Lonchura striata: one gene and its partner. The protein of the gene in region 2 interacts with the protein of the main gene of each other region in a pairwise test. Links are inferred from orthologs where the notes say so. Each region holds a gene or a part of one and is shown on either strand. Other genes may lie near its edges.

Region 1 (15,300 bases), on a different chromosome or scaffold from region 2:
AACAGCAATTACACAGTTCACAGAGGTAACTGAGCTTGACCTTTAGCTCCCTCCTCCTTTCCCAAGTTCACAAGGAAGCAACATCAGACTATCAATGCTGCACAGCCACCCCAGTGCCACAGTGGCAGGAGGCAGCTCTGCAGGTTGTGAGGCACTTGGACAAAAGGAATCTCTAGAGCTGTCTGCTTGTCCTGAGGCACTTACACCACAATATTCTGCACCTCCCATCAGGCCCAAGGATGGCCCTGGAGCCAGGCAGGTGATCTGCTCCAGGGGGTGCCCACCTCAGAAAGGCACCTGACAGCAGCTGCTCTCTGAGCACAGGAGCTGACCACAGCTCCCCCTCCCATTCCTGCTGCACACCAGGAATCACCACCCAACCTGATCCAAACAGAGGCAGCACCTAATGCTTCCACCCCACTGCCTCAGCGCCCTTATCCCACAGCATTCCAGGCCACCAGCTACTCACCATGCTCCTCACACGGACTGTTCAAAGCCAGCTTGAACAGATAGCATCCCCTCAGATCAGCACTGCCAACCACTCCCCTCACCAACCTCCCGAGTGGTGCAGAAGCACAAAACCATGGCAAGAACAGCAGGACAAGCTGATTTGCACCCAGAGTTACCCACAAGTGAATCCCAGGGCCTCTGTAAGCACTAAGCTCTGCTGACTGCAGAGAACAGGAATGCTTTCCAAGTACACAGTTACAGATTTAGGCACATTTCCTGTACCCTTCACAACTCCCACTTCCCTGTGGATGATAAATGCTACAGCTGATTGCATCTGCTCTGGATCACCACTTTCCCCTCTACTCGCCTAAAGCAGGCTGTTTGTTGAAAGAAAGTGCCCCAAAAGCCAATTCCTCCTTATCCTGAGAGTACCCCCCAAGAAACTCTGTGTACATCCTGCATTTTCCCATGAATAAGAAGTTTAAAACAGGTCAAACAGGAGCAGAGTGTCCTGTGAACAAAGCTCAAGCCTACTCAGCACAGAGAAGAGTTTCAAAGAGCTGCTTTCCAGGGCAAGGCCTGTCCAGCTGTGATTGCTTGAGGTTACTTTAACAATGCCTCAAGTTTAAAGTCCCACAGCTTGACAGGGAACCTCCAGCCATTTCAGAGCTACTCTGGAGCCTGTGAGTGCCAGCAGCTGGAGAGCCCAGCAGCTTACACAACGCAAATCACTTGAGCATACACTGACCTAGAGACATCTCACCTCAAATTGCTCTGACCAGGAGGCAGTCAGATGCCAGCTGTTAAGATGGCACCAGTCACCAGAGCTGGCAGGTAGGACAGAAATCAACGAGTAAAACTTCTGAGTGCTGCGGGATGTTTCAGGAGCCAGAGCTCTGAGGTCATTGCTCTGAGTCCCAGTTTTGGGTTAAGTACTGAAGATACTGCAATCCAGAGCTGGGGCCTTGCAAGTAGCACAGTCAGGACTCCCCTCCCTCTACTGAGGAAGGACAAACACTGTTTGACAGGATGAGAAAGCTTGATATGAAAAGATCAACAACTGGCTTTGCTGGACAGTGAGGGAGCAGCCTGGTGATACCAGGTTCCAGAGGCTCAGCAGCAGCTCTGCATCTCTACCAGCCTGAAAGGGCTTCCACCTTTTAGAGTTTCCCCTCTAAACAGAGCTTGCAAAGGAACAGCTTTGATTTAACCTTGTATTTATAACTCCCTGGCAGTCTATCAGCTGCACTGCTGCTCCAGACCAACACTGTGCACAAACACTGTGCGAATCAGTGTGGCTGAGTTACAGCCTCCCGAAATCTGATAGAGGTCATTCCCAGAGCAAAACAAGGAAATGAGCTTGTTGACATCCTCAAGTCTTAGCCTGACCTATATTTCACAGATCTTGATGCATTTTGCCATCTGGTTGTGCTCCATGAACTCCACCAGAATTAGGTGAGCACATCGATGTTGAGCTCACCGTGGACAGCCACTGGTCAGTGCAGGCAGAGCAGCAGCAAGAGCCTTGACTGCTCCAGTTGTGGAGAGCTAGATCATCATCTCAGGGTGCTCTGATGCTTGGATACAAGATGATATGGCTTCATGTTCACATGAGAAGTTGCCATATGTTTCAAGTGTTTGAGTGGAATTTCGAGACTCTAACTAGTCACTGATGGCCTTGGGCTGAAGACTTGGCCAAAGTCCTTCCTCCTGACCAGCTGATGGTCACAGGAGGAAGCAAATAACCAAAGGAAGTGCTCACCAGTGCTGCAGACAGCAAGCACACTCCATGGCAGGACAGTAACCTTCTGCCAACGCCAAGATGTTTGAGGATTCCAGTCAGACAGAACTCAGCTCTGCAGAGGCAGCTGAACTACACAGCCTGAACCTGTGCTAGATCAGCCTACACCCACCAGTGGACTTGAGAAACAGGGACTGCTTCCTGCTGTATGAAGCCATTTCTGGTGCTTGGGGAGCTCTTCATCCTCCCACCTCTTCCAGCAGAGGATTGGGCTCCTCCCTGCTCCCCACGAGAATCCCAGCACTGACACTCGAGCCACAGGTCAGGCAGACCAAAATAACCACAGCAGTACCACACAGACGAGGGAAAGCAGCTGAAGTCCCAGCCTGCCATGCTAATTCAACTTGTCAAGGCCATAAAAAAGAAGGACACGGTGGGGTACTCATGTAATCGAGATTAACAGGCATTAATTTTCCTACTAGTTTCTTTTAACTAGTGGAACCCAGCAGCTGGAAGATCACAAGACCCATGAAAAGGCTCGTGCTGGTTTGTTTACCTGCCCTACCCACCTCCTGCTCACTGAAGCACACACAGGAGCTCTGCATCCCACAGCAAAAGCACCGATTTCTTTATTGTGAACTCTTAAGATAGTTTCTTGTTTGCATTGAGATCAAAGTCAAGTACCAACTCCTGATGCTGTTCCACAGGTGAGAGCTCCAGGTCTATCACTTCTGCTCCTCCAACCCCTCCCCTGCCTGTCAGGGTTTGCTGGAGGAGGCTGTACACAGCCAGGAATATTAAATTCAAGAATCTGAGTGCTCTAAATGAGAAAGCACATGCCATGGCTGCTGCACTGCCTGCCCAAGTGCAAGACCATTCTCCATAACCCTCAGGATGCTGGGGAAGAGCACCAGAGCCCATTTCAAACAAACCTACCCAGGACAAGAACACAAACCATCACATGGAAAGTACTGTCAGATCCCCATGTTAACCTCTGCAGGACACCCCACCACAGGGAAGCTGCTCATTTAAGGTGTCAGAAGTTAGAGAATCTGATATTTTTGCCCTGTGTTCAGCTAGCAGCAAAAACTACTCTGAAAGCTGAGGATATTCAGAAACCTAATCCTGAAGACTCTGGTTACCCAAACGACTGCTGCTGCTCTTAGCTATGCAAGGAGTTGCTTCACTGGGGATTTGTTGGCTTAGAACCAAAATACTCAAGACAAAAGCCCCAGTGAAGCATTTATCTCGTTAAATAGCTGACAGTGTTACATGAATTCCTTGGCAGAGGAAGCCTTGAAGTTACCCAGTGGTTTTGCTTCACCTCACACTGCATGGGCAGCTGGCCCAAGGGGGAAGAGTCAGCTTCAGGACATGGAGTCAGGAGCAACTTCCTGACTTCCACAAGCAGGACCAGCAGAAAGTGCAGGTCCCACCAGAGCCACATGCAGACCACACTAGCCCAGGCTAGCACAGCGTGGAATGTCAACCTGATATTCCAACTCATCAATATGATTAATCAGAACGAACTTCCTGAGCCTGCCTGCAGGAGGGCCCAGGCTGCAGAGAAAGGAGGAACAGACCCAACTATTACAGAGGAGAAGAACCAGGAAACACCCAACCTACAGACCTCAGTCCCACCAAGTCTCACGAGTTTCAATACTCCACCTTCCTACCTTGTCCCTCCCCAGAGAATGAGCCCTCGGTGTCCTGGTCACAAAGGACAGTCTGGAGTTCAGGGACTGCTCTGAACTGGGCCACTCTCCACTTCAGCTGGCAGGAGCTGCACTACAGCCCTAAAGTGCAGATTCACAGACCCAAATCAGCTCACACAGCAGTTTCAGCAGCACTCCTCTGGCTGTGACTAACTTATCATAGTGTAACAACTTCTCTGTGCAGTCCCTTACCCAAGACTCACAAAGACTTTGACATGCTCACCTTAATTTAGAGGTAAATAGGATTTCCATTCCAAAATTGATCTACTCATTCAGCTGCAGACCTGAACTAGTACCATCTGCTTCTCATGCTGTTGATACTCACATCTGTTTCCTGACATTTGCACATCCATGGCCTCTGGAGCAGCCCCAGCAGCCAGCTGTTTTCCAAAGCAGCTTTTCCAAAACAACTCTATCCCCAGAGACTTCAAGGCCACCATCCTGCTGTGACAACAGCACAGACTTCTGTGGAAGAGTTTTACATCACCTTCATCTCCCATTAGCTGCCCACTAGCTCCCAGTCCCACAGTGGCTCCCTCTTGGAGCCTTCACCTACTTTCAGTTATCCTTGGCACAGCAAGGCTGGAGGATCAACTCACAGATGCAGCCTGGACTGCCTCAAATGGAACAAAAGCATCAAGGTTTTAATTCTTCAGCAAAGGTTGTTTAACTCCTGTTCAGATGCCCTCAACAGACACAGCTTCCCTTGACCAGACACTCAACACATGCCTTGGAGAGCACCCACTGTTCAGTCAGCAAGAAGGCAACATCAGCAATGCAAAGCAGGAAACTGCCACCTGCACTGCAAAGAATCTGTGACCTTCAGAATATCTTTCCCAGACTGCACAAAGATCTCCTGCCTCGAGCAGCTCCTTATTTGGAGTGCTACCAAACCAAAGCAAACATGAAAAACAGTGTTTTCTTATCTGTTTATGCAGAGCTGCTCCAGCAGCTCATTCCTGTGCTCCAGGGGAGGACAGCATTTCCCCCAGACCTCAGATGAATTTTATTCCTCCCCAATACTGTCACATCCAGGAAGGTTTCCTGTTTCTGGCCAGTGTCTAAGCGTTTTCAATGCTATTCTGACAACTTCTCGGGACTTGCATAAGAGGCTGCAAACTTCATACCCCAAGGGAAGAAAACAGCTGACTCCAACATTTCTACATTCTATCCTCTTTTAAGTCTGCTGACAGGAATACTCTGGGCTACACCCACTTCATTAGAAGCGTTCCCATTTTATTTCCTGTGTCTGAAAGCCCTTGGCATTCCTTCCCCCTCCCTCTTCAGGGAGATGCCATGACCACCATCCGAAACTGTGCAGCAGCTGAAGAAGTTTGGACAGAGCTGATGAGTGGCAAGGCCTAGAGCACCCCTCGAGCTGATCCCTGTTGAGACGCAGAAGAGCTTGGCTATGGTGGAGATAATCCCACCTCTCAGCACAACAATTATGTTTGGCCAAGCACACACACATCACCAGACAGCTCCTTTACACACTGTCCAGTTGGCTGGGAAATGTAAAAATTGGTGCCATCTCAAACTGGCAAACCAAAACCACACCAACACATCCCTGGTTTCACAGGAAAGCAAAGTGTACTCTACCAATGCAAAAGCAGGTAAGTGTTTGAGCTTGCTCTAGTCATATCCACATGCCAAGCCAGCCTTTCCCTCCTACTCTCCAGAAACTCAACCCTCTCCAGGAGTCCATCTCACTTTGCCTGGGTTGATCCATCACCTCAAGAGGCATCAGCACCCACTTAAGTGCTGCCTGCACAACCTGCAGTCAAATGTCAGCTAAATCAGCCAGAGCATCTTGGGAGAAAAGGCCACCCCAGAAGCAGATTTTTGGTCTCAAGGTATTGACTGTTCCAGCAAACTGTTGTAACTTATGAGGGGTCTGAGGTGATTTCAACACTGAGACCCAGGTATGACCCCAAACATTCCTGTCCTTGACCTCCCAAATCCAGCCAGGCTCTGCTTGCCTCACCCCAAGAATGCCTCAACATTGTCCTGTAGCTGCCTACAGGTACTATCCAGAATTCTTAACTCTTTTCACATATAGATCTTGCACCTTATTATCCAGGTGAGCTGAAAAGAAACGTAAAAGACTTTCAGAGTCAAGGCAGCAGTGGGTATTTCCAGGAAGTTCCCTCAGACTGCATGGCATGTCAAGACAACAGACTGAGCTGGATTTTTTGGCCCCATCCAAGGCTCAGAGGTGGCTCGGGAGGCCCAGCAGAGCACAGGCCCAACATCAGGCTGTAAACAGGGCAGCTCAAGTGTGCTGACCCTCCACACAAAAAGCTAAGAATAGCAGATGCAAGTTGTTCCACAGCAGACTTAAAATAGTCCCTCGACATATTCTCCTTTCCAGCTTCCCTACAGGACTGGGAACAGCCAAGGTCAGAGCTGCAGCAGCCACATCCCAGGGCAGCAACTGCAGGGCAGCTGGGCTGGGCTCCCTGCAGGTCCCAGCAGCACCCCCAGCTCCTGCCCAGCCCCAGGAGCATCACCAGGAATAAGGTGCCAGCAGTTCTCCCCAGGATTTAGCAGGGCAAACCTGTTGCTCACGCTCACACCTGCACTCCTGGTGCAATCCCACCAGGATGTCACCCCCAGCTCACACTGCAGGGTCTGTCCTGCTGTGCCAGAGATCCAAGGGTGGCCTTGCTCGAGATTCCCTTACAGACAAGTCACAGAATGTCCCTGCAGCCCGTGGGCCTTGCTCAGGGCCCTACAGCACCACGGGTTTCCCTTCCCAAGGGCTGTGCTTGGCACCGGCAGCGACCCCGGCCAGTCTCAGTCACCTCCCGGGAACCCCTGGAGCTTCCACTCCCACCTCAGAGGCAGCCCAAGCACAAAATCCGATCCCACCGTGAAATCCCTTTCAGTCCTGGCGCCACACCTCCCCCAGTGCCACTCAGCTCGCAGTCAGCCGCGGCTGCGAGACGGGAGCTGGGCACAGCCGCCGCACAATCCCGCGGTACCGGCCGCAGGCGTTCGTTCCGCTGTCCCGGGAGCCGCTCCCGGGAGGAGCCTGACCCGAGCACCCACAGCGCCGCCGGGACGCCTGCCCCGAGCCAGGCACCGTCCCCTGGGCCGTGCGGCCGCCCCCGCCCGGCGCGGCTCCGCTCCCGTTACCGCCCGGCACACACCGGTGCCGCCAGGCCGGAGCAGCCGCCGCCCCGCCTCGCACCACACGCAGCGCCCCGCTAGGCCGGCGCACGGCGAGAGGCGACGGCACCCGGCCGCCCAAAGCCCCCGCCCCACCCGTGCGGTGCAGCCCCGGCATCGCCCCGCCCGGCACAGCGGCGCCACCGAGCCCCGGCCGCATCCCGCCACGGGGCCGCCCAAACGGCGGGGCCCGGCTGCCGCCCTCGGCCGGGCGAGAGCCGAGGGAACGGGTCCGCACCCTCCCGGCGGGCTCGGCCATTCGGGGCGCAAGGAGCGGCCGCGGCCGCACTCACCGCCCGTAGCGCCGCTCCCGCCGGTGCGTCTGCAGGCCCCGGGCCTCACTTCCGTCTTTACCCGTTCCGCTTCCGGCCCCGACCACCCCTTCCGCCCCGCGCCCGCCGGCCATAGGCTGTCACAGCTGCCAATCACCTGCTCCGCCCCGCCTCCACCCCGCCCCTTGAGCCGTGCGTGATGTCATGCGCTCCCGCGGGGACTGCTGGGAGTTGTAGTTCAGATGCGTCCCGGTGCCACCGGGCCCATGGGGGAGCCGGGGCGGGGCCCGGACAGGGCGGGGCGGCGGCGGACGGAGACTCAGCGGAGCCGGGGCTGCAAAAATAGAGCCTTTATTTCTCGGTGTTGCGGGGAGCGTGGGAGAGGCGGGGCGGAACGACACGAACTACAGCCGCGGAGGGGCGGCAGCGGCCGCGACCCCCGGGCAAGCCGGAGCCCCCACCGGAGAGCTCTACGGATCCTCCCCCGCCAGACCCCCGCGGGTCCCCCGGGGCTGCGCTGCCCCGCCACGCCCCACGGCCCTGGGCACAGGCGGGGCTGCCGAGCCCGGCCGGGCTATAGAAAAGGCGCCGTGGGCGACGAGTATAAAACCGTATCAAAATCCCTGCGCGTGTTCCCGGTGCGGCGTCCCGGGAGCCCCGGGGGCACGGCCCCCCCGGGCGGGGTCACCGGGAGCGGGGAGCCCCGGGCGGGATCACCCGGAGCGGGGAGCCCCGAGCGGGGTCACCGGGAGCCCGGAGCCCCGGGGAGGGTCACCCGGAACGGGGAGCCCCGAGCGGGGTCACCGGGAGCCCGGAGCCCCGGGCGGGGTCACCCGGAGCGGGGAGCCCCGGGCGGGGTGACCGGGAGCGGAGAGCCCCGGGGAGGCGCCCCCGGTGCCCGCGGGGTCAGCGGGAGCTGGTGGAGCCGGACCGCGGCTGCGGGCGGGCGCGACCCCCGGCCCCGGCCGAGCAGCCGGGGAAGGAACGGGCGGAGCGGGGCGGCAGCGGCGGCGGCTCCGAGTCCGAGCCCCGGCGGGGGTCGGGGGTGTCCCCCCGCGGCGGGCGCGGCCCCTCGGCGCCCAGCCAGGGGTGCAGGGCGGCGGCGTGGGCAGAGCGGCTGCGGACCGGGCAGCGTTTGGCCCGGGGGCTGCCGGTGGGGGAGCTGAGCGAGCTGGGGGGCACCGGGGGCGAGGGGGGCACCGGGGCAGCGGATGGCGGCGAGACGGTGGCGGGCAGACGGCAGGGACAGGCCGGGGGCTGCGGGGCGCCCAGGTGGCCCCTGAGCAGCTCCATCATGTTCTGCAGCTCCCGGCTGAGGTGAGAAACCTCCCGGTTGAGGTGGCTGATCTGGAAAAGGACAGGCAGCAGTGAGCACCGGCCGATGTCGCCGGGCTTTGCGGGGACATACACCCACCTCTGGTCCCCAGCGCACCTCCTGGTTGAGCCTGCTGATGTTCTGCTTTATCCGCTCCGCCTCCATCAGCAGGGCTGGGCCGCCGGCGTCAGTCCCTGCTGGGGAGGACACGGACAGCGCTGGGATGTCCCGCCGAGCCCCGGGGCCGGCGCTGGGACCTTGCCCGGCATCTGCTGGCGGTACCTGAGCTGGGGGAGTCCCTCGGCGCGCTCTGCGGCGGCTCCGTGCTGAAGCAGAAGGTTTGTGGCTCTGAAGCCCCTCCGTTGTCTTCAATCCCATCCACGACTCTAAGCGGGACGGGGTCAGGGTTAGCCCGCGTCACCCCTCACCTCCGTGCCACCATCTCAGCATCCCCCAGGATGTCCGTGGGACACCCAGGGCACAGCCTGGTGGCACAAACCCGCGGCAGCGGGATGAGCCGCCCGCACATCCCGGCGTACCTGGGGCTGAGGTCGGGCGGGCCGGACGAGAGCAGGGAGGGGATGAGGAGCTTGGGCGGCCTCCCGCCCGCGCCTCCATCCCGCTCCGGGAGCCGGCCGTCCCTCGGGCACTGCGGAGCGGGGCTGCGGCCGCCGCGGGCCGGGGAGGGGCAGCCGTGGCGCAGGGCTGAGCCCTGGCGCAGCTCATCGCCCAGGAGGCTGCTCAGGGAGCCGCGGCGCACCGAGGAGCTCAGCGCGGGCAGCAGCGGCTTGCGGCGGGAGGTGCTGGCGGGGGACTGCTGGAAAACCTCGTCGGGCTCCTCCTCATCCTCCACAATGGAGGGAAGGGGTTTCTCCGGGGCAGCACCGCTCTCCGGACGAGGCTGCAGGCGGGCGGGAGGTCAGGGCTGGTCCCAGCCACAGCCCCGTCCACCCCCATCGCCTCGGCAAGGGACGAACCTGTGGCGCCTGCGGCAGCCTCGGGGACCGGGAGTAGCGGCAGAGCCCCTGCGGGGAGAGCAGACGGTGCCGGCTCAGCAGCAGGAGGGAGCCCCTGCACAGCTCCACGGGGACCAGTCACCGGCCCGCAGCCCCCCAGCCTCTCAGTGCCCCCCGGGCAACCAAGCTTTCCCCAGCCCCACGCATCAGCCTCAGCACCAGCATCCACAACCCCTCACTCACTCTCCTCCCTCTGCTGCTGCCATGTCAGTGGTGAGCTGCCTGAGTGCCCTGAGGCAGAGCCGAGGCTGCACCCCAAATCCCAGCCACGGCTCAGCCATCAGAGCACCAGCTCTGTGTGGAGCATGCAGCCAGCACGGGAGGGTGACGCAGGTGCAGAACCTTGTGCACACTCCTGGCATTCTCCTCTCTTGGTTTGTTTACACCCCTCCTGTGTTATGGACATGGTGGGTCTTGGTAGGGCTGCTTGGGACCTAGAGACCGACCTCCCACACCACCTCCATCATGCTCAGGGGGAAAATGGGTACAAGGGAGATGGTCCAGAGGAAATCCGAGCCTCTCAGCAGACCCAGGGGAGGAAAAGTGCAGCAGAGCCATTTCTGCAGCGGAACATACCCCCGGATGCTGGAGCCATCAGCATGATTAAACCCACAGCCCACAGCTGTGTGCTGCACTCCAGGGGGCTTTGCCCTGGCTGTCTGTCCTGCAGTACCCCCCCCCAGTTCTCTCCAATCCCATTTCCAGGCTTCCATCTACCTCAGCCTCCTGCATTGCAAAGGTTCTCTCTGCCAATTCCCTGGGCTGCACAGAGCCAGGACAGGACATACCTGTGTGCCAGGGTGGCAGAGCTGCAGCCCCTTTCCCAGCCTTGGAGCCTGGGGACTGCGAGCAGGGGGTGCACAGACTCCCCCTCCATGGCCGTGCACAGCCCCAGCCCCAGGGCCGTGAGGACAGGAAGGGGCCTGAGCAGGAGGACACGCACCCACCTCCATCTCGCTGCCCTCCCGCAAGTTGAAGGTCAGGTCCTGGTGGATGTCAGCTGTGAACTTGCTGGCGTACTCAGGGTAGAGCTGCAGCACCTCACAGAGCCCCCGCAGCCCGATGTGCTGGAGGTCGCAGTAGGTCAGGGCCTTCACGTCCGCGTTGGTTTTGATCACCTGGTCCGTTCTGCACAGGTCGGCTCCAATCAAATCCCCTTTGCCTGCAGGAGGGCACCGGGGCTGGGCTAGTGACACGAGCCCTGAGCCCCTCACTCTGCCAGGCAGCAGGAAGGGCTGGGGCAGAGCCCACGCCACCTGCCCTCACCCAGGATGGCCAGGACCACGTTGTCCTTCAGCACCTCGAGGGAGCCGGAGCAGACGAAGTAGTTGGCCTGTAGAGCGTCGCCCTGGCGCAGCAGATACTCCCCCGGGGCACAGAACGAGGTCTTGATGTGGAGCGAGAGGGAGCGGAGGCAGCCCCGGCTGGCCGTCTCAAAGATGGGCAGCTGCAGGATGTCCTTGTTGAGGTGCATGGCCACGTCCGCACGCAGCTCGTCGGGGAAGTCGTGAAGCAGCTGGGGACAGAGGAGCCGGGGCTCTGGGCACGAGGGGCAAGGAGCAGGGAGCAGCATCCCAGCAGCCCCGGGGGACAGGTCCCCCTCTGGAATGGGGAATCTGCTGAGCTGCCCTGGTGTCTCAGCAGCGCTCAGCAGTCCCGACTGGCAGGGGCGGGCCCTGTGGTAATCAGCTCCTCTGCTCCATATGTCCCGCAGGAATTTACCCCACACCGGCTCCCTCCAGCACCACTCCGAGCTGGCCCTGCCAGCCCCATTGCTCCCCCATAGGTGCCAGTCGGGGCTGGAGGGGGCTGGCCGAGCCCCACCAACACCTCCTACCTCATTAGCATCAATGCCGTTGTTGACCGACCAGGTGGTCTGGAAGTACTCCAGCATCCTCTGCTTGAGCTGCTGGGGCAGGTGATGGACGCGGATGAAGTCCTTGAGGTCCTTCATGCGGGTGTGGTAGAGCGAGCGGCGGGAGTACATGCGCTGGATGATGGCCGTGACGTTGCCGAAGACAACGGCGTGCATCAGCGCTGGGGCAGGGGGCAGCGTCAGGGCACAGCCGGGGCACAGCCCAGGGCCGCTCCCCAAACCCAGACCCGGGGCTGTCCCCAAACCCAGCCCTGGGGCCGCTCCCCAAACCCAGCCCTGGGGCCGCTCCCCAAACCCAGCCCCGGCGCTGCTCCCCAAACCCAGCCCTGGGACCGCTCCCCAAACCCAGCCCCGGGGCTGTCCCCAAACCCAGCCCTGGGACCGCTCCCCAAACCCAGCCCCGGGGCTGATCCCCAAACCCAGCCCTGGGGCCGCTCCCCAAACCCAGCCCTGGGGCCGCTCCCCAAACCCAGTCCCGGGGCCGCTCCCCAAACCCAGCCCTGGCGCTGCTCCCCAAACCCAGCCCCGGGGCTGTCCCCAAACCCAGCCCCGGGGCTGATCCCCAAACCCAGCCCTGGGGCCGCTCCCCAAACCCAGCCCTGGGGCCGCTCCCCAAACCCAGCCCTGGGGCCGCTCCCCAAACCCAGTCCCGGGGCCGCTCCCCAAACCCAGACCCGGGGTTGTCCCCAAACCCAGCCCTGGGGCCGCTCCCCAAACCCAGCCCCAGGGCTGTCCCACATGCCCATCGCCTCCCCGGCGCCCTGCCAGGGACACAACGCTCTGCCAGCCCCAGTGCGCTCCCTGCCCAGCCCCACTGCTCGCCTCACCCCCGATGAGCATGGTGCAGATGGAGAAGATCTTCTCAGTGTCGGTGTTGGCGCAGACGTTGCCAAAGCCCACGCTGGTCAGGCTGCTGAGGGTGAAGTAGAGGGAGGCGATGTAGGCGCTGCGGATGGAGGGGCCCCCCACTGAATTGTTGATGTAGGGAGCCTCCAGCCTCTTGCCCAGCTCGTGCAGCCAGCCTGCCAAGCACAGCCCGGGGTTAGCACTGGCAGGAGGCAGCTGTGAGGGCTGCACCCCTGGCACGGCTGCCCCGCAGCCCGGGGGGATGCCGGTGCTCTGAGCACGCCGCTGCCCCGTGCTCACCGATGTCCCAGGTGCGGGGGTCGTTGCTCTCCAGCTCCTTGCGGCCGATGACGTACCAGATGCAGGCCATCCAGTGAGCCAGCAGGGCAAACATGGACATGAGCAGCGTCAGCACCATGGCGCTGTACTGAGAGTACCGGTCCAGCTTCTGCAGCAGCCGCAGCAGCCGCAGCAGCCGCACCGTCTTCAGCAGGTGAACCAGCGAGGTCTGGGGGCAGGGGAAAAGGAACCTGGTGTAGCTGCAGGCAGGGATAAGAAGGGACCCCAACGCCACCTCTGGTGCAGGAGCCTTTTGTCACCCCCAAAGCTGCCAGGAGGGTCACAGGTCACAGGGCAAACCCGAGGCAGCTTATCCCCAATCAGCCTTGCACCCCTGTGCCCAACACCCGGCAGGCAGCCAGGGCTGTGGCTTGTCAGGGCACCAAGTATCCCCAGGAGATGTGGGTGTTGGAGAGGGGCAGGCTTTGCTGTTGAGGGCTTGGTTTGTGCTGGCAGCACTCACCACGGTCACGTTGAAGATGTAGAGCAGATCAAAGGGCAGAGCAGCGATCAGATCCACAAAGAACCAGGTGGCCACGTAATGGATGCAGATGGAGCGAGGGTCGTACACAACCTGGCCCGACTGGCTCACGTATGTTGTCCGGAAGTTCAGGATGATATCTACCCCAGGAGAGCAGGACCAGCCCTCACCACCCCTTCTGTGCTGGCAGAGCTGAGCCAGCATCCACAGCCAACACTGGTCTCACTTCTGGTGTGCTCAGGACCAACAGCAGGGGCACAGCAATCCCAACCCCCCTCTCCATCACCCCTGATCACTGCCCACCGTGTCCTGTACCCCGGATCAGTGTCCAGCCCCGCACACAAACCTACCCAGGATGAAGAGCATCTCCACGGCGATGTCGCTGACAATGGTGCTGCGGGCAGCTGAGAGACTGTCCTCTGTGCCTGTGAAGCAGACGTTGTAGGGCACGGTGATAGCCACGTAGAAGGTGGCCAGCAGGATCAGCCAGTCCCAGAGTGCCTTGAAGATGCTGTAGTGGAGCAGGATGAAGCGGGACTTCTGCACCGAGGCCACCTTGTACTCGGGGATGGACGGCTTGTTCTCAAACACGTTCTGCAGGAGCAAACGTGCGCTGGGACGGGGGCGGTGCAGGGGCCATCCCACACGAGGGGTGAAGGCCACCACAGCCACCCCTTCTCCTGAGTCCTGCCAACCAGCTGGCATCCCCCGATGCCAGGGTGATGGCACCCTTTTCCTGCACCGCGGTCACCCTCAGAGATGGGCACAGAACTCCTGATTACAGCACATCAATTAGTGCAATGTCATTGCTATTAACCGTAATCCCCTGGCAATGCCAACTGCTGCCTGGAACCATCTCAGGTACCAATTCACATGCTAGGGCAGAGGAGGGGAGAGGTGAGGGCAGAGCCAAGGCCATCACCCCCAGATTCCCAAAATTTAAGACTGGTGCACTGATATCTTTTACCTGCTTATGAGCTTTGGGACCCAGCAGCTCTCAGACCCTCTCTCTGGCCCCACAGCTGCAGGTGGTGCCCTGTACTGGGCACAGCAGCCATGCAAAGGGGCTGGCACAGGACTGACTCTGGTTCCTGCCCCATCTGGCAGCTCCACAGCTCTGGCACCCTGGTAACAGCACTCCCCAGAGCCAGTGTGGCTGTGCTCAGAGCCAGCACTGGGGTTTCCTGACAGTGAATGTATGAGGAGAGGCACAGCTCTGCCAGAGCTGCTGTCTCAACAACAAGCTCTGGGCACACACTGGGTTCTCCTGCTGCCAACCCAACACAAGTGCAGCCTGGCTACAGCGTGGCTGCCAGAGCTGGGGGGCATTTCAGTACTTGGCAGGGGAGAGACGTGCATGGGAACAGCATCCCAGTGAGGCTGGGCTCTGCTGGGGGCTGCTCTCAGGAGAGCTGCTGCACTGCCAGTTCACCACAGCCCCAGCACGGGAGGCACTGGGCAAAACTGAGGGTCCCCCAGCTCCTTACACGGTTGATTTTCATCTCGCCACGGTCCCTCCGGACAAACTGGCTGCTGAGCTGGTGCAGCATGGTCCGGCCCTGCCTCCGTGCAGCCCTCAGGTGGGAGTTCCCAGGCTTCTTGCTCCTCTGCTTCTCATTCCTCTGCTTTTCTGCAGTGGACAAGGCACGCTGAGTTAGTGAGAGTGCCGTGCCACGGGTGTTCATGTTCCCCGCCAGGGAACAGGGAGCCCCTTTGCCACGTGCCCACTGCACACACTGCTCCCCGAATCCCATCCCCATTCTAGAGCTCACCCTCCTTCTTGTCACCAGGGCAGCTCCTGCCTCGGCTCTCTGTGATGTCCTTGAAGGAGAAGAGGAAGAGCACCACCTCCCCCTTTTCATTTTTGATGGGCATGATGTCCAGCAGGCACCAGAAGGCAGCTCCTGGGTGGAGAGAGTTGGTGAAGGCAGGGCAGCTCCCTGACTGCTCAGCAGCTTCCCCCAGGCCATTGAGACCGTGACGGGGCCAAATCCCAGCTGGAGCTGTGGCCAGGGACCCAGCCCCATGTGGCACTCACCGCCCTTCTTGTAGAAGCAGACCTCAGCCTGGTACTCCTG
Region 2 (15,511 bases):
TGATCCCAGTCATTTTATGGCCATTGCTTTAAAGTAGGTCAGTAACTGTAATTCCTATCTTACAGACACAGAAATCAGAGCAGGAGATGACAATGACTTTATAAAGAGAAAATTTGACTTTGCAGAGACAAAACTTAAGTCAGGAAAATAAAAAGGCAAATTCAGAAAGTGGCTTCTCAATACTCTCAGCTTTTACAGGGTTGGTAACACCTCCTAATATGCTACTATTGAGGCCCAGATTACAGATCAACAAAAGTGCTTTTTCTCCCAAATTGAGATTAGGCAGCCAAGAAATATCACACACATTTTTCTTAACTGTCCATAACTAACTTTATGTTTAGTAGGCAATTCAGTATTACCCTTCTATTTCTACATCTCAAAACTACATCAAACTCGAAAGACCTATTTCAAAGAATATATCCAATATTCACAAGCAACTGCATATTTACATCAAACTAAAGCAGTGTGCAGGAAAGAAGTGGTGAAAAAGTGCTGGAAAAATGAAGTATACTGAGTAGTACTGCAAAATATTGATGGGTAAATGTACTGAGAAAATGAGAAGAAAAAGGAAATGTTATTGTGGTGAAACAGAAATGGAGAAGGCGAAAAACCAAGATGAAAAGGAAGAGGTAAAGAAAAGCAGAAAAAGCATTTTTTTCCTTGAATCACATAGAGCAACCACTTCCTAAAACGGGACAGCAGAAAGGGACGTGCAGTCCTCAAGCTGGACATCAGATTTCAGATTTCAATCTGATTTATCTCCTGATTCCCTTCTTCATCCATTTCAGTCCTACCAAGTCTTTGCTGTCAGATTCCTACCACACACTCTTTGTTACTCTCAAAGCACAGTGACTCTACCAAAATGCCAACCCCTGACTTTCAGCGCTGTTTTCATGTCACCTCTCGAGCCCTTGGCCATGCCCTGCATTATTTCCTATGTGCTGCAAGCCTCTGGCTGCTCTACATTTGCATGACTTCCAGGACATGAAGACTCTGAAGCTCTCTGGATCTTCCAGGTGGAGGCAGCCAGATCCTCAGCAAATGGTTCTTCCATCTCAAACTATCAGTCACCGAAAGAGCAATCCCAACAAATGGACATACACTTGCTTATAGCAAATCTTACAGCTGAGCTGACCTCTAATAAGTAGGATCACGCACTCTTCAGGGAAATTCAAAATACCCCTGAGTTCTTAATCTCTCTGTGTACTCTGATTTAGTGGTTTAAGAATAGAAAAGTTGTTTCTAGTGAACTCAGGAATTTAACCTACATAAGTACTTGCAAAACTTCCATGAGACACTGTGTAGGTCTTTAAAGACCCAGATATGGCATTTTGAAACACCTAATTTTATGCACATGGGAATCAGCTTCACTGAAAACCACTGAGATTTACGCTTTCCAAAGCACTGGATATAATTTATGTTACAGGTTTTACTTTCAAAGGGATTTAGTCATCTAGGTCATGTAAACACTCTAGAAAATGTTATTTTTTCTGCTCCAACTCTTTTTTTTCACATCTACTGTAGGCACTCGACTTTAGGATAACCCATGAACATCTATCTGCTCTGTAATCAATGGACATGGGCAGTTCCCTCCATGAGGTGAATCACAGCATCAAAGTTAGGTGCCCAAACTCAGTGTGCAGACCTAGGAATTGTATCTACATTTTGGCAAGGAATTTTGTCAAGGCTGGCCACCCAATGTATCACAAGGTAAGGACACAATACAGTTTTACTTTGGTTAATTATTTGGAGACAAAGTAAATAACTTTTTTTTTTTTTAATGAATACTACTTTTCTGAGCATCAAGGCAGGAAGAGGTTGAGCTATCAGATGAAAAACACCCACAACTCCTCTTAAACCACAGAAGGTACATATACTTAGCAACTCTACTGTAAATAACAGCATCACAATAGCAATTTATCTTCTACTCCACATTGAACAAAAGAAATACAAATGAAAAATTACCTGGGCACCATAGACTCGTTGCATTGCCTGAAGCAACTGGTTTGTGTATTCTGTAAGGGTTCCTGCATCTTCTTCAAAGACACTGAGCAAAGAACGAGTCTTTAACAAAAGAAAAAAAGCAAACAGTGCTTAGTTTTGAGTGGAAATCTTAAAAAGATTCAAAAAAGTAAAAAGTAAAAAAACAATCAGAAATAATATATCCTTGACTTGCACAATTCTGTTTATTCAGATTCTTTTATTATGGATAGGTAAACTGAGGCACAAGGAAGCAAACTATTAAAATGCTACAGCCACATCCCAACTCCCAGGCTCTTGCTCCTACTAACAGACAGTCCTTCCAACATAATTAGTAATGTAAAAAATCCTGAGTATCTTCCTGCTGACGACAGTAATTCAAACCATGTTAAGGACTGGGGGGTCAAACACCACTGCTTGCTCACTTTACTTCTCCAGTGTCAGACTGCACTGAAAGCACCCCTTTCCACTGAGATAATTTACACTCTGTTATTCACTCCCCACTGTCTTGAGCAACTCTTAAGGGGCCACAGCCAAAGCAAGCTGATGTCACTGGACCAAACAAGTGTTCATCTCCAAGAGGCACACAAGGATACGCCCACTCAGAGATACCCTGTACTTTCTTCACTCTGCTAACTCATCTTTGGCAGCAAGCAGGAAGGGGAAGGAAGAACTTGTGTTCTCTTAAAAGACACAAATTCCCTTGGTTTGTTCAGGTGGAACCATCAAGAATAAAGAATTATGTTGCTGACACAGTTCCCAAGATGGGAAAGAAAAGATATTTCAGAATAATGCTGGGCTCCAGAATTTGCTAGATCTTTACAATAATTAAAAAGGAAAGATTGTCCCATTAACAAACTCATGATCCATACTTAGCTTAGATAAATCCAATCTATTTGAGGCTATCTGGAAATGTCTCTCCATCTGTACAGCTAACGCATATGACATTAATGAGCTTCATCTGCTTACATGAGGGGCATACATAAACTCCAGTACTTTCACAGACATGTCAGTCCTGTAAAAGAGCAAGTCCTTTATTTTTAAGTCCCCCTCTTACAGGAATCTCTAATGTACCTGAAGTATCCAGGTTCAAATTTGAGAAATTTATTTTCAAAGGTTTAAGGTACTCCACTATTTTAACGGAAGGCACACGCATTTTCCAAGGCATTTTTTCTTCTCTGCAAAACTCTTTGCCCAGACTTTTTTTGTCCTGGAAAACTCAACACCAGCATCTTTCAATAATCCTAGACTATGATGAACTATCATTTCACCTCTGCTGAGAAGTATGCAAGCCAGAAACTAGTGCTGCTCAGTGGTTAAAATACATGACCTGGGAGTCAGTCTTTGGGTTCCCTTCAGAACCTTCCTCCTCTGAGTAGCTTTAAAAGCTCTCAACAGCTCACTTGGCTGATGTACTGAGCTGCTACAACACCTCCCACCTGGGAGATGCTGGCAGTTTGGGAAGCTAGTTTGAGATCCTAGCATTTAAAGGAATATGCATTACAAACTATTGCTTTCAAATAAAATGAGCATAAAAACCAGAGACTGGAGAGAAGTCCGAGTCAATGAAATTGATACCAGGAACCCAAATGTTTAAAGCACCTTTGTACAGAACTTCCCTGTAAGGACAGTGATTTTGAGAGTTTTCCACATTAACATATTATTTCAGTAACTGCAAACATATTGATTTTAAAAAATCTAGTTTCAAATGTTTTATCTTCAATGATGTAAAGTAAAATAATGTCAATAAACTATTTTGTATCTATACAGTACTCAACTTGTGTTACAATGGCACCTGTTTTGTGCTACAATGGCACATGAAAAGTACAGTGTACAAAAATGGTTAAAAAATAAATCTGGGGAAAGCAAAAACTATAAAACTTGACACAATGCTTATCAAGCCAAATGTCAAGCCAAAACTCAATGATTATAAAGAAATTGCCTAAATTGGGCTACAAATCACATAGTTCTGCCTGCTGGAAAAGGTTCCCAAATACAGGAATGTCAACTGCATTTATAAATTTTAGTGAATTTTTGCAGACTCAGATTTTTGGTTTGTCTAAATATGGTTTGAGGTAGAACAGCTCCAGAAACCAACTTCTGAAAGTCTTGGCCTCTGTTATTAGCACATTGTTCAAAAATAATAAAAACAATAAATTATTCAGACAGTTTGGAAGTTATTGTTGGAAACTTTTACATTTAAGAATATGAAATCACTGTAACAAAATACCAGCATATATGTATTTTCTTTGTTGCTGTTTTGACAAATTTTGGAATAGCAGTTAATTCTGTTGAAATAAACCAGTGATCCAAATATTAAGCTAACATTTAAGAGGCCCCATTATTCACAACATTATCTCAGCTTCTGAAAGGATAGGAAAAAATTTTCTAGTTTCATGTAAGTACTTCCCTTGATTTTAGCATGACTGCTGGCATAAATTTTTCTCTATTTTGTAGCTAAACACATCAAAATTAAGACACTTCTTATGGCCTCTTCAGCCAGTGTCTAGAGACAAATCAAGACAAAAGTACTGTACTGACGGGGAGAGATAAATGAAGTTCTAGAAACCTGATGAAGAAATAACTTTGGCCTAATTCTCCTCGGTCTTGCATGTAAATCACATACTTCCCACAGATTATAGAAAGTGAGGTTATATCCTCATTTCACCATCCCTTTGCACTCCTGAGACTGCACAGAGCAGGAGAGAATCAGGATCCTTCTTGCAGAAGTAACTGGTCCTATAAGATGCTATACTGCTTATTTCTGTGGAACAGAGACTAACTTTTTGCTTTGATTTTGTGAATCTAAAGCTCTCCCCAATGACAAAAGTAATAAAAATATAAAAGACTGAAAAACCCACTCCTGCTTCCTTGCATAAAAAGAGTATATTTTAGCAACACTGGGCCATTATAAAAATGAAACGTCACTCACTCTGAAAGCCATAGAACTTGAAGAAAAAGCAAAAAAATCAGGGTAAAACATCTTGCCAATACGCAGGTTTATGCATTGCCTGGTATTCTAGTGATGGCAAAGGAGACATTGACAGCCTTCATTTCAGGACACAGGTAAGATGATTACCTCCAAATTCAGTTCAGTGCATTGCTCAAATGCTTTCAGACGGTGTTACATTTTTAATCACTGAGGGAAGTGTTGACTGAAGAGGTAAATTAGCTCATTTCTCCTGCATGTAAATTTCTTCAGCTTTAGGACACAGTGGGTAGGTTAACAATAAAAATGTTACTAGCTAGCCATAATTAATCTGGTACATTCTGGTAAACTGTGGAACGCAGAAAAGCTCAGTCTGGTAAGGAACTCCGCAGGTCACCTAGTCCAACCCTCTGCTCCAAGCAGGGTTGACTTTGGTGTAACTTCACATTACTCAACACTTCTTCCAACACAGTGTTTAAAATTCCCAAGGATGATTACAAATACGCCACATCAAACAGATGATGGAAATCCTTCTTACTAGAATGGGATTTCATGAAATTACAAAAAACCAGGCTAAAATGAGGCAAGTAAGATCTTAAGACCCGAGGTTCATTAAGTCCTGACAGGTGCACTTCCAATCTTTCCTTCAAGACGTCTCATGACAGGCTCTGTAACACCTTGCAGCAATCTGCCCTACAGCTTACCTATTCATTCCTGCTCCTGATCCACCAGCAGACACGTTGGGATTACAACACAGGGTTACCTGGGAGCTGTACCCATACTGATCCGCCCTGCCCTCGTTTGCTTTTCCCCTGTTCACCAGCTACTTCTGTATCTCGCTCTGCACAACGCTTTGTTCCCAAGCGCACCTTCCGCATCCCTCAGTGGAATTTCCATTATTTCCCCTTCCTCTAACTTCTCTTTTCCACTCAGCCAGCCCCTGAACATATCAAGACACACGTTCTTCTCTGTGGGCCTCCCCCAGTGCCGGGTCCGCAGGGCAGCCGGGCACACGGCGGCTCCCGGCGGCGGGGCACGGGGCGCTGCGCCGGGGCCGAAGGAGGAGCATCCTCCCTGCACTCGGGAAGGGAAGGGCAGCCACCGCCTCTCCTCGTTCTCACAGCCCTTCAGAAGGTCATCTTCGGTGGGATCCGCCTCACCTATCCTCATGGGAGCTCCTACATGGGAACTGCGGCCCTTGAGGAGCAGGCACGCTGGCGGTGACACTCCTCCAGCCCATTTTGTCAGCGCGGCCAGGTGACTCACCGCGCACAGGTGTCCCTTTCCCTCCGGGGGAAGCCAGCGCACCGAGCCCTGCCCGCCTGTCCTTCCCCGACACCCTCAGCAGTTCAGGGCAAGCCTTACGGCCACCGAGCGCGCTCCCACACGGCACGGTGCGAGCGAACAGCCGCAGCAGTCTCCCTGCCCGCGCTGGGGGAGTCCCTCGCCCGGGGGACAAGAGGAGCAGACTGCCTGCTGTTCGCCACGAACACCAGACCTCCCCCGGCCGCACGGCCGCTCAGCGCATCCCCGCTGGCTCGGACAGCCCAGCCCGCCCCGAGCGCTGTCCCCCGCCCGCCCGGGCACCCCTCTCCCCGCTGCTCCCCGGCCCGGCCGGACCCGCGGGCTGCCCGCCGGCACCGAGCGCTCAGGTGCCTCACACCGACCGACGGACGGGCTGTCCCGGCAGCGGGCGCTACCTGCGGGCTGTCCTGCAGAGCCTCTTCCAGGAGGAGCTTGTCGACGGCGGGCATGTTGGTGCTGCGGCGCGGCGGAGCCCGGGCAGGAGCGGGGAGCGCGGCGCTGGCACGCCCCGGCGGCGGGGCTCGGCAGCGTCCCTCCCTCCGCCCGCCCGTCCGTCCGTCCGCCCGTCCGTCCCCGCGGGGGCGGCCGCGGCGCTCCGCAGGCACCGGGCACGGCGGGACGGCTCCGCTGGCGGGGCCGGGGCCGCTCACTCCGCCCAGTTCCCGTCCGGCGGAGGAAGCGAGTCACGGGAGGGCCGGGGGAAGGCTTCCTGCCGCCATTCGCTCGGCGGGGCGGAGGGCGGCCCGTGCCCGTCTCCCGTGCCCGCCTGCCCAGCCGCGCTCCCCCGGGGCAGGGTGGCGGGAGGAGGGATGCACAGCCGCCCTGGATGCCCCCTCAGCCGGGAGAGGCTGTGAGGGTGCGTGGGTGTGACGAGCACCGGGGGAAGATCAGCCCCTCCAGCCTGGCTCCTGGGGCTTGGGGACCTCCAGATGCAGGCGAGCCCTTTGCTGCGCTCTCCTCAGGTGCGCGGCGGGGACACTTCTGGCATCAGCACAGCCGCTTGCTTATCAATTCCCTCGTTTGTTCTTGTCCGTGGACAACTCTGCAAGTGAAACAGACCTTGTGCTCCAGACAGGCAAATCCCCGCACAGCCATGGCTCCTAACACCATAACCCCGTAACACTTGGGGGGTTAGAAGGGACGCATTTTGAGTTGTTAGTCACATGAAGATGTGCTGAGCTATGTTTTTATAAGTCTTGATGCTGTCTTAATTGTGTTGGATAACTCCAGCATTTGGACGTTAATTTGGATGCTTAGTTGAACAAAATTAATACTTGCAAAATAAGCACAGCTTGATCTGTATTTGATTATGTACATGCTTTTGAAGGGTGTCCATTGCTTTTAGATGCCTTAGCTTCTCCAAAAGTCCTTGGTTATAGATCTTGTAGGGAAGTTGCTCCATTCTTGTGAGCAGTAGCTTTTGTTGCTCCAGTGTGCCTTTAGATAAAATGGAGATACTCAAATCCAGAATCTCATTTAAGGAAAAAAAAAAAAAAACAAACAAAAAACACACACACACAAAAAAAAACAAACCACAAAAAAAACCCGCAAACAAAAAAACACACAATAAAAAACCCAGAAGAAACCAACAAAAAGACCCCCAAACAAATAACCCAAACAAAACAACAAACCCCAAAACCTACTTCTGAAGATTTTAGGAAGAATCCTGCCAATGAAACAGAATATGCAAACAACCATACTGGCTGTAAGATGCTACCATCTTTGAATATATGTCACAATTTTCAGATAACTCGTATTGCTGCCTTCTTTTAAAAGAAGAAAAATAATTCTAAAAAATGCAGCTCGTGTTGCAAGAGAGCTCCAAACATTAATATCAGCCAGCTTCTTGCATCTAAGTCCCAGTGGATTTTTCCACTTCTGGCATTCTTAAGTAATAGCAAACATTTCATATGACAAGGTGATTGCTAATAAAGATTGAGGGGTATTTTTTCTGATTAAAAGACTTTTTGCAGATTGGCTGGATGATTGTTTGCTTTAATTATGAATGAGAAAAACCACTGAACCCTGTAATTTTGGCTAAGGTATTTCTGTGTGTCTGACATTGATTGGTATTGCTTCTGAAGCTTGTGATGGGACCTTTAACCCAATGTGCCAAGCCATAACAGTGGGACTGCCCCACCAGTCCTGAAGCTGGACTCTCTGTTCCAGGCCTTTGAGTAAGAACAGAGGTCTCACATTCAGTTCCTTTTCCTGCCTGAAAGACACTGAACCATAATAAAGATCTCTAGCTAATACCAAAAATACCATGGATGACAGTATGTATTTACATAAGGAGAAAATAAAAATAGATACAGATTTATCATAATAATGTTTCCAAAGAATTTTAGAATGGTGAAAAGAGGTCAGAGATTTTTTTTTTCCTACGGAATATGAAATAGGGCACCAATTAGGCATTAGGCTTAAGAATCCATGATCACATCTGAGCCAATTTTGTCAGTCTGTATTAAGTCTTATTTTTCTTTCATCAGAGACTTTGAAAGCATTACTTGAAATTAATGTAGAACAAGAAAACCATGCTTCATCAGATTTTCTGTATCTGTTAAAGTAGCTTCAGGGCATTTTTTAGTATTTACCAAATACTTAGTTTTAGTGACAACTCTTGCCTTTCTTTCCCCCTCTTGTCTTGAAATAGTTCAGCAACAGCTCTTACCCATTAAGTTAAAGTATTTCCTTCACCAGGAAAGCATCAAGGTGGTTTGTTTGTGGTTTTATTTCATATCAGTGCAATAACCTGGAAGGTTTTGTCTTCTTCCTTTTGATGTCTTTGTTTAGTCTGAGGTTCAAGAGTGGAAGCCTGTTGTCATTATAAAGTTCAGGATAGTTATTTCCACAACAGGTTCTACTAGTTTTATTTAAATAAAACAAAAAGCACTTCATTAACTTACTGAAAGGTGATGCTTTTTACTAGTTGTCATTCTTTGTTGCATCATTTCCTACACAGCTATAAACTTGGCAGATTGCTTATTTATAGTGAACAAAATGTTTTTATTGAGCTTTACCAATTCAGTCCAGGTGGTTTTGAATTTGCCTATTAGTAATTGAAATTAATTTCCCAATCACTTGACTTTATTTGGTCTCAAGAATTATTCTTCAGTTTTGGTAACTCCAAATAATGTTTCTAAAACAATTAAAATAACCCACAGTAAAACTACCAAACATTTCAACAACAGATTTATACAACATTAGCAGTATTAGAAAAAGAAGTTAGATACCTTGTTCATGGCCAGTCCTTTGGGTAGAGTTGTCTCATTCTTTGCTCCAAGAAAACACAGTTTATGGGTTTTCTGAGTTTCCGTGTTCTATATCCAGGTACTGAATGCAATATACTCACCTACTACAAAGAGCCATGCTAATGGAAAGCACTCTTACAGCCATTCTAGGAGCACTGAACATCTGGGAAGAGAACAGGGAAACAGGAGATACAGTACTCACAATCCTGACTGCTCAAAAGACCTGCCACGGAAGTGTGAACTGAGCTGGAGATCACTTCCAGGGAGCAGCCCAATTCATTTGTATGTGTGTATTCCATAACCTACAGATGACTCGATTGTGTTAAGAAAAATAGCTCCTAGAATGTGAAAACTTTAGGGGAAAAAACTCAGAATGGCTACAATTATTCTGATCCATACTGCTTATAAAACTAGCAAGAGATCATAGTATCAAGTAAAATCAATAAATAATTCAGCATTGAGTATGAAGTAATTTATTATGTAAACTAATTGTCCTGCTTCTAAGAAAAGATGATACTTCCTTCCAGCAAAAGCCAAAAAAATCTCATAATTGGGAGAATAATCAATTTCAAAAGAAAGAAGAAAGTTTGAATTCAACTGGAATTTCAAGATTTGTCTTCTAAACAAATCTCTTGGCAAAATGACATAAAATCTTCCATTATTACTGTAGTTCCACAGAAACTGGTGCGTCTTCAAACCTGAAACTGGGGTTTTACACAGGACAGTCTTGTTCCTGTTTGAGGATGGCCAGGAACATCCCTTGGTAACCAGCCAGTCAGGTCTGGCCATGTGACAGGACAGGAAGGACCGTGGTGTGACTGGGACTGTGTGGTCTGCAGGACTGAAGGTGTCAGTGCCACGCTCCCAGCTCTGCCCAAGTGCTCTTCCCCTAACTGCCCAGCACCAGCTCAGGGCTGGAAGCAGAGTGACAAGCCTGGATGGTGCTGTGCCTCAGTTAAAAAGCCCTGCCAGCTTTAATTGGCCTGTTTGGAGACAAGGCAGCTGTTGTGCATCCTTAGCCTAATTTATTTCCAAATTTGATAATCCACTCAGTATAAATGGAGAGCTGACTGTAATTATTTTTTTCTGGTTAGACTAGTTAAAGAGTAAGTCATACTGCATTGTGCTCTCTTTCTTGTATGTTCCATTATAACTTTAAAGAACTTATTGCATTATGCTTCCTTTTTGGCTTCCTACCTTATACTTTACAAGAAATTTCTGAGCAGTGGTGTGTTAGTCACATGTTTGCTAAGTCAGCTGAGTATATTTAGACTTTTAACAAAATGTCTCATATTCTTTTTTGTGCTCAGTAACAAATCTTTGAGATACAGATGACTTTTAGACATGTAATAATTTACTGTAAGTTGTGCAACTTTTATATATATATATAAATATAGGGGGTATGTTATATGATAGTAGCAATAAATTGCTTCAGATGAATACAAGTGAAAGATGTGAAAAAGACTCTTAGTACTTTCACTACCAGAAGCATCCCAAAACATTTTTTTAAATAGTATCTGAATAAATTACTGGTTAAATTAATACTAGGGCGTCTGATGTACTGGACATGTCTTGGACACATAAGAAATGAGTATCATGTGATTTTGTGCATGACCCATAACATAATACTGGGCTGAAATAAAATTCCACTGAAATTATTAATTGCTATGTGACCAAGATGTCGTGTTCTTTGTTTTAACATAAAACACATGGCTTTGTTTATTTCCATTAAACACGTTAGTAATATGCCGAAATGGATATGCACAGATGGGCTGGCTGGTGGGATGGATCTAATTAAAACCTCATTGAAGGTGAAGAGTATAACTGCCATCTTTAATTTCATGTAATTTAAAGACAATTAAGTCCCCTCCTGTAAATAAGCACAGCAGCAACCTCCACCCAGATCCAGAATAAAAATATGGTTTCAGAGGCTGGAGTCACTGATGGAAGCACCAGCACTTCCTCCACGCCCGCCTCTGCCCTATGCTGTGTGGGCTCAGTGTTTAGTGTGGCCATGGCTTTTTGTTTTGGGGACTATGTGATGGAAGGCGCCTGATTTAACAGTTTGCATTTGCTTTGCAAGAAACAGAAACAATGAGAGAGTGGGTAGTTTGTTGGAGAATTAGTGGAATATTTTAAGCTAAAATTTTTATATTTTTGTGGTACAAACGTTAATACACAGGCTCTTTCCTCCTTCTAGCTGTGTTTTTTGTGATGTGTGTTGTTCCCTAACCTGCTCTAGGTGATGGTCCAATGGAATTCAGGGCTGTCTGAGGAATGGTGAAAAATCTTTGTATGAAATACAAGAAGCGACAGAAAGAATAATACAGGTACTTCATCAAAGAAATGCATATCTGGTATGATTCTGTACATTAATATGAGACCTCTAATGCCTGACATAGGATTATGAAGTGCCAATAAATAACCTGTTAGGCATAAAGGTTACCAAAAGTCAGAAAATCACATTCAAATGCAGGCTGGATCCACAGAAAAGACTGTCAATTTAGTATCAGAGGGAACCTGCTCTTTTAGTCTTTGCAACATCAATACAAATATTACAAGCAAATGCATTTAATGTCACTGTGTCTAAAGCCAACTCTTAGTCTAATTTCTTTATCATGAGATCACATGAACCAATCAGGCCCTGCACTTTTGTGTTTCTTTCTGAACAACACAACTGAGAAATTAGCGTGGTCTTAATTCTGATCACTCCCTTTGATTCACTTTTGTTCATCTTTCCACGGCTGGTTAGGCTAAAAAGCTGAATTATGATGTCTTAACATTTATATATAGCAGAACATACCTTAAGGCCTATTAGAAGTCCATGAAAGTTTGCCAGCATGATTATATCCTTTTTGGTCTTGCTGTTTTCAGTTTGGACTCTTTTTGTTCTCCATGCACAGCATAGCACAGAGGGGTCTGGGTACATAACTGAGGCTGCTGCAGACCACAGAAACCCCGAACAGCTCTGCTGCCAGCTTCCCCCTGAGCAGAGGCAGTGCTGCCCAGGGCAAAGGCAGAGCAGGATGTGGTGGTGCAATAGGATGTCATTTTGTATTTTTAGAGAAACGGCAAAAAACCCCAGAGGATGATACAGAAAGCATTAAGGAAACTCTAGGCAGCACCCAGATGGGCACAGATACCACAATCTGTTTGTTTCCTGCTGGGCAATGACTCCTCCCAGTAGGCTGCCTAGACAACATCAGGAGCACAAGTACACGAACAAGTGCAGTCATACAAGGAAAATGCAGTGCTGCATTGCTGCCCGGGCAGCAGGTCTGTGCACCCCCAGTCCAGCTCAGCAGGAACCCTCTCGCCCTGGAGCTCTGTGCTCCTCCACACCGCTCAGATGCTTCAGTGTCGCAAGATCAGATGTTTCCAATTTTTCTTCCTGCGGCGGCTGCTTAGAAGTTCTTCTGCTGTCTGGAGAAAGCCAAATACTGGGAACCCTTTCCTGTCATATGACTGGACCTTCTGCTGCAAATGAAGGGCTTGCCAGAAAGCTGGAATTCTGCAGCATGTGCACTGAGGCGTTCCCTCCAGCATTGCTGCTGGAGGCAGGGCTGTCGGTGTGGTGAGCTGGCGACTTGCTTTAGTAGGGGGCAGTGAGGAGTGTGAGGAAAGCAGAGTTGAATCATTATAGGAGAGATTGCAAGCCACATATTGCCTTTTGTAGCTTTGTAGCTCTTGGAGTGTCTTTTCAGAGGTGTGCTGCCCTTACAGCATGGGTGAGGGAGCACAGCCCCTAGGAGGCTGACAGCAGGGTCTGACTGCTGCTGTGAGCAAGATAATTCTTCCAGTTGGCAAAGCTCTCTCTGTATTTTCCTAGGATAAAGGTCACTTGAGCAAGGTACAAGCAAGGTGAACTATCTCACCAGGCTGTGGGTAGCTTTTGGGCTATAAACTGCCTGCCATATGTGACTGAACTTGTGCAGAATTTGCCTTGCAGCCAAGAATCTGCCCCACCCTTTTTCTTTCCATCATGTGATTTTCCATGCAGGCAGGTGGTTTGTACCCCTGCAGCAATGCCATATGTTACCTGTGCACTTGACAGCCCAGCTCTAGTCCTGCAAACGTAGAAACTTGTGTTTAGCCCGTCAGACTCCTGAAGATTAATCAGGCACATGAATGTTGGCTGGATAAGTAAATAGTTTCCCAGTTCTTTCAAATTCATTTATGGTAACACATTGCTTTTCCTTGTTTTTCTTTCACATTTTAAAACCAGAACATTTAGTTCAAGGGTCACATACAGTCATTATCTTTAAATACTCTGTAAACGTAAGTCCTGACAAGATCCTAGGTCAGCAAGCATCTCTCAGTTGAAGCATAAAGCACGCAGACAGCATGTACTGCTGTCAGAGTCAACAGCACCTAGTAATGTGCATATTTTTTTTCTTATAAGGGACCAATGGTTTCTAATTAGTTTTTTTTCACCCTCTCAAATCACACTTCTATGAAATAGCAAAAAGGAAAAAGCCCCCTCCCCCCCCCCCCCCCCCACAAAAAAGAGCAGTATCATATCTGTTACTGTGAGAACATAAATAATAATGCAATGGAAAATGTTCTCATCAGTGTTTAAACTAACTTAAAAGCTTTGAAAGAAATCTGTGACAGAAGAGAAGTTGCCAGAGTTTTTTGTCCCTCCCCTGAACAGAACAGCTTGTGCAGTATTTCAGAAGTTCTGTTAGATTTGATTTACATTGCGTTGTAGCATTGCCAAATGGAGCAATGTTCAGTACTTTGAAAACTAAATCAAAAAAGAGTGCTCTGGTCATTGTTAGGTTTGAGTCCAGATCTCTTCTTGTTTTTGCTGTTGCACATCTGGACTGGTGCTGCCAGCACCTCTGGTTTCACCATGTTTCAGCCTTCTAGGGCAGGTTTGCTGTGAGGGGCTACCAGGCTGTCAGCTCCCCATCAGACCTTCCCCAAGTGACATGTGCTTCTTATTATGAAATGGGAGGGATTTGGGATTGCATGGAAAATGACTGGCCCCTCTCATTCTGGAGGAAAGAGAAAAGCAAGTCCTTGACTCCTCAATGCTCACTGTTGGAAATCAAAGGCTTAAATCTCCACAGCAATCATTTTAAGCTATGTTCATTATTTTCACACAACTCTGTGCATTTTAGGGGCCCCAAGTCATGAATTTCGAAATGCAACGCAAATACTAATAAACAAAATACCAGTGTTTTGGTAGCAATTCCAGGTACATATTAAGGAACAGATAGTTTGGGTGTGTTGCATCCATTTTGCTGTTAAACCTGGAAGAAATGAAACTAGATAAAGTATTTAATGCAGAAATTCCCAAACTGTCCATTTCTGTGTCTGTCTCTACCATTTGCCTCTACTCATGGATCCAAAAGCTGATTCTGTGTTTAACAAGGGTGAATTGCTTAATTTTTATTAATATAAATGAGAGGCATTTGTCACCTTTATGTAAGTGCTGAAAGGATATCTCCTATGAGAATATCTGAGGACATCACATAACTGCTATTGATTGCTTACAGTTGGTTTTATTTCATGGGTACAAATATTCTGCTCTTACAAATATTTGAAATTATGCATACAAGAGCCTTCCTTGAATGCTTAGAAATTGCTAGTACCTTATCTGTCAATAACTACATTCTGTGTGTTAAAAGCCACCAAAGCACAATATATAGTTGGTATTTGTGGGTGCCTTTTTCTTTTTAATGACCTAACACACACTGCTTCCATATTTCTAATGGTAAGAACTTCTCTTTACTGTATGCCTAGTATGACAGAAGTTTTGATTAATCAAAATTGTTAGTATCCTCTTGTATTAAACTCATATTTATATAGAGAGATGCTGTTTTGATGTACATTTATTTTTTTCTTAGTCTGGCTGTTATTTGCTGAAGCAGAATTCTATTATTTCAATAAAATGTCACATGCAAGTTATGAAAGTCACAGTCTGTGTGAATTATATATAGCTACTGTAAAAAGACGGGCAAATTCTAGCTTCCTTAGATTTTCAAAAGCTAAGGTATTAATTAAGCAGAGGTGGATAAATATACAGCTTTGATGAAGA

The links.
Region 1: the proteins of APPL2 (region 2) and RAB5C interact in binary tests that used the Homo sapiens proteins (3 or more experiments, as listed by UniProt). The two-hybrid records come from large-scale screens. The link is inferred for Lonchura striata from reciprocal best matches to the Homo sapiens genes APPL2 and RAB5C.

What each region holds. Positions count from the first base shown.
Region 1 is NC_134627.1:6,405,570-6,420,869, reverse strand, and holds the start of RAB5C (ras-related protein Rab-5C), read right to left. Parts: upstream 7,462-15,300; 5' UTR 7,371-7,461; intron 1-7,370. Other genes in the region: voltage-gated delayed rectifier potassium channel KCNH4-like, read right to left, coding at 8,256-8,696, 8,782-8,858, 8,947-9,050, 9,093-9,565, 9,642-9,689, 10,127-10,147; voltage-gated delayed rectifier potassium channel KCNH4, read right to left, coding at 10,891-11,196, 11,518-11,717, 12,384-12,578, 12,703-12,910, 13,205-13,362, 13,573-13,816, 14,710-14,852, 14,995-15,126 and 1 more. UniProt on the Homo sapiens protein: The small GTPases Rab are key regulators of intracellular membrane trafficking, from the formation of transport vesicles to their fusion with membranes.
Region 2 is NC_134607.1:20,387,964-20,403,474, forward strand, and holds the start of APPL2 (DCC-interacting protein 13-beta), read right to left. Parts: upstream 6,788-15,511; 5' UTR 6,664-6,787; coding exon 6,610-6,663; intron 2,065-6,609; coding exon 1,966-2,064; intron 1-1,965. UniProt on the Homo sapiens protein: Multifunctional adapter protein that binds to various membrane receptors, nuclear factors and signaling proteins to regulate many processes, such as cell proliferation, immune response, endosomal trafficking and cell metabolism.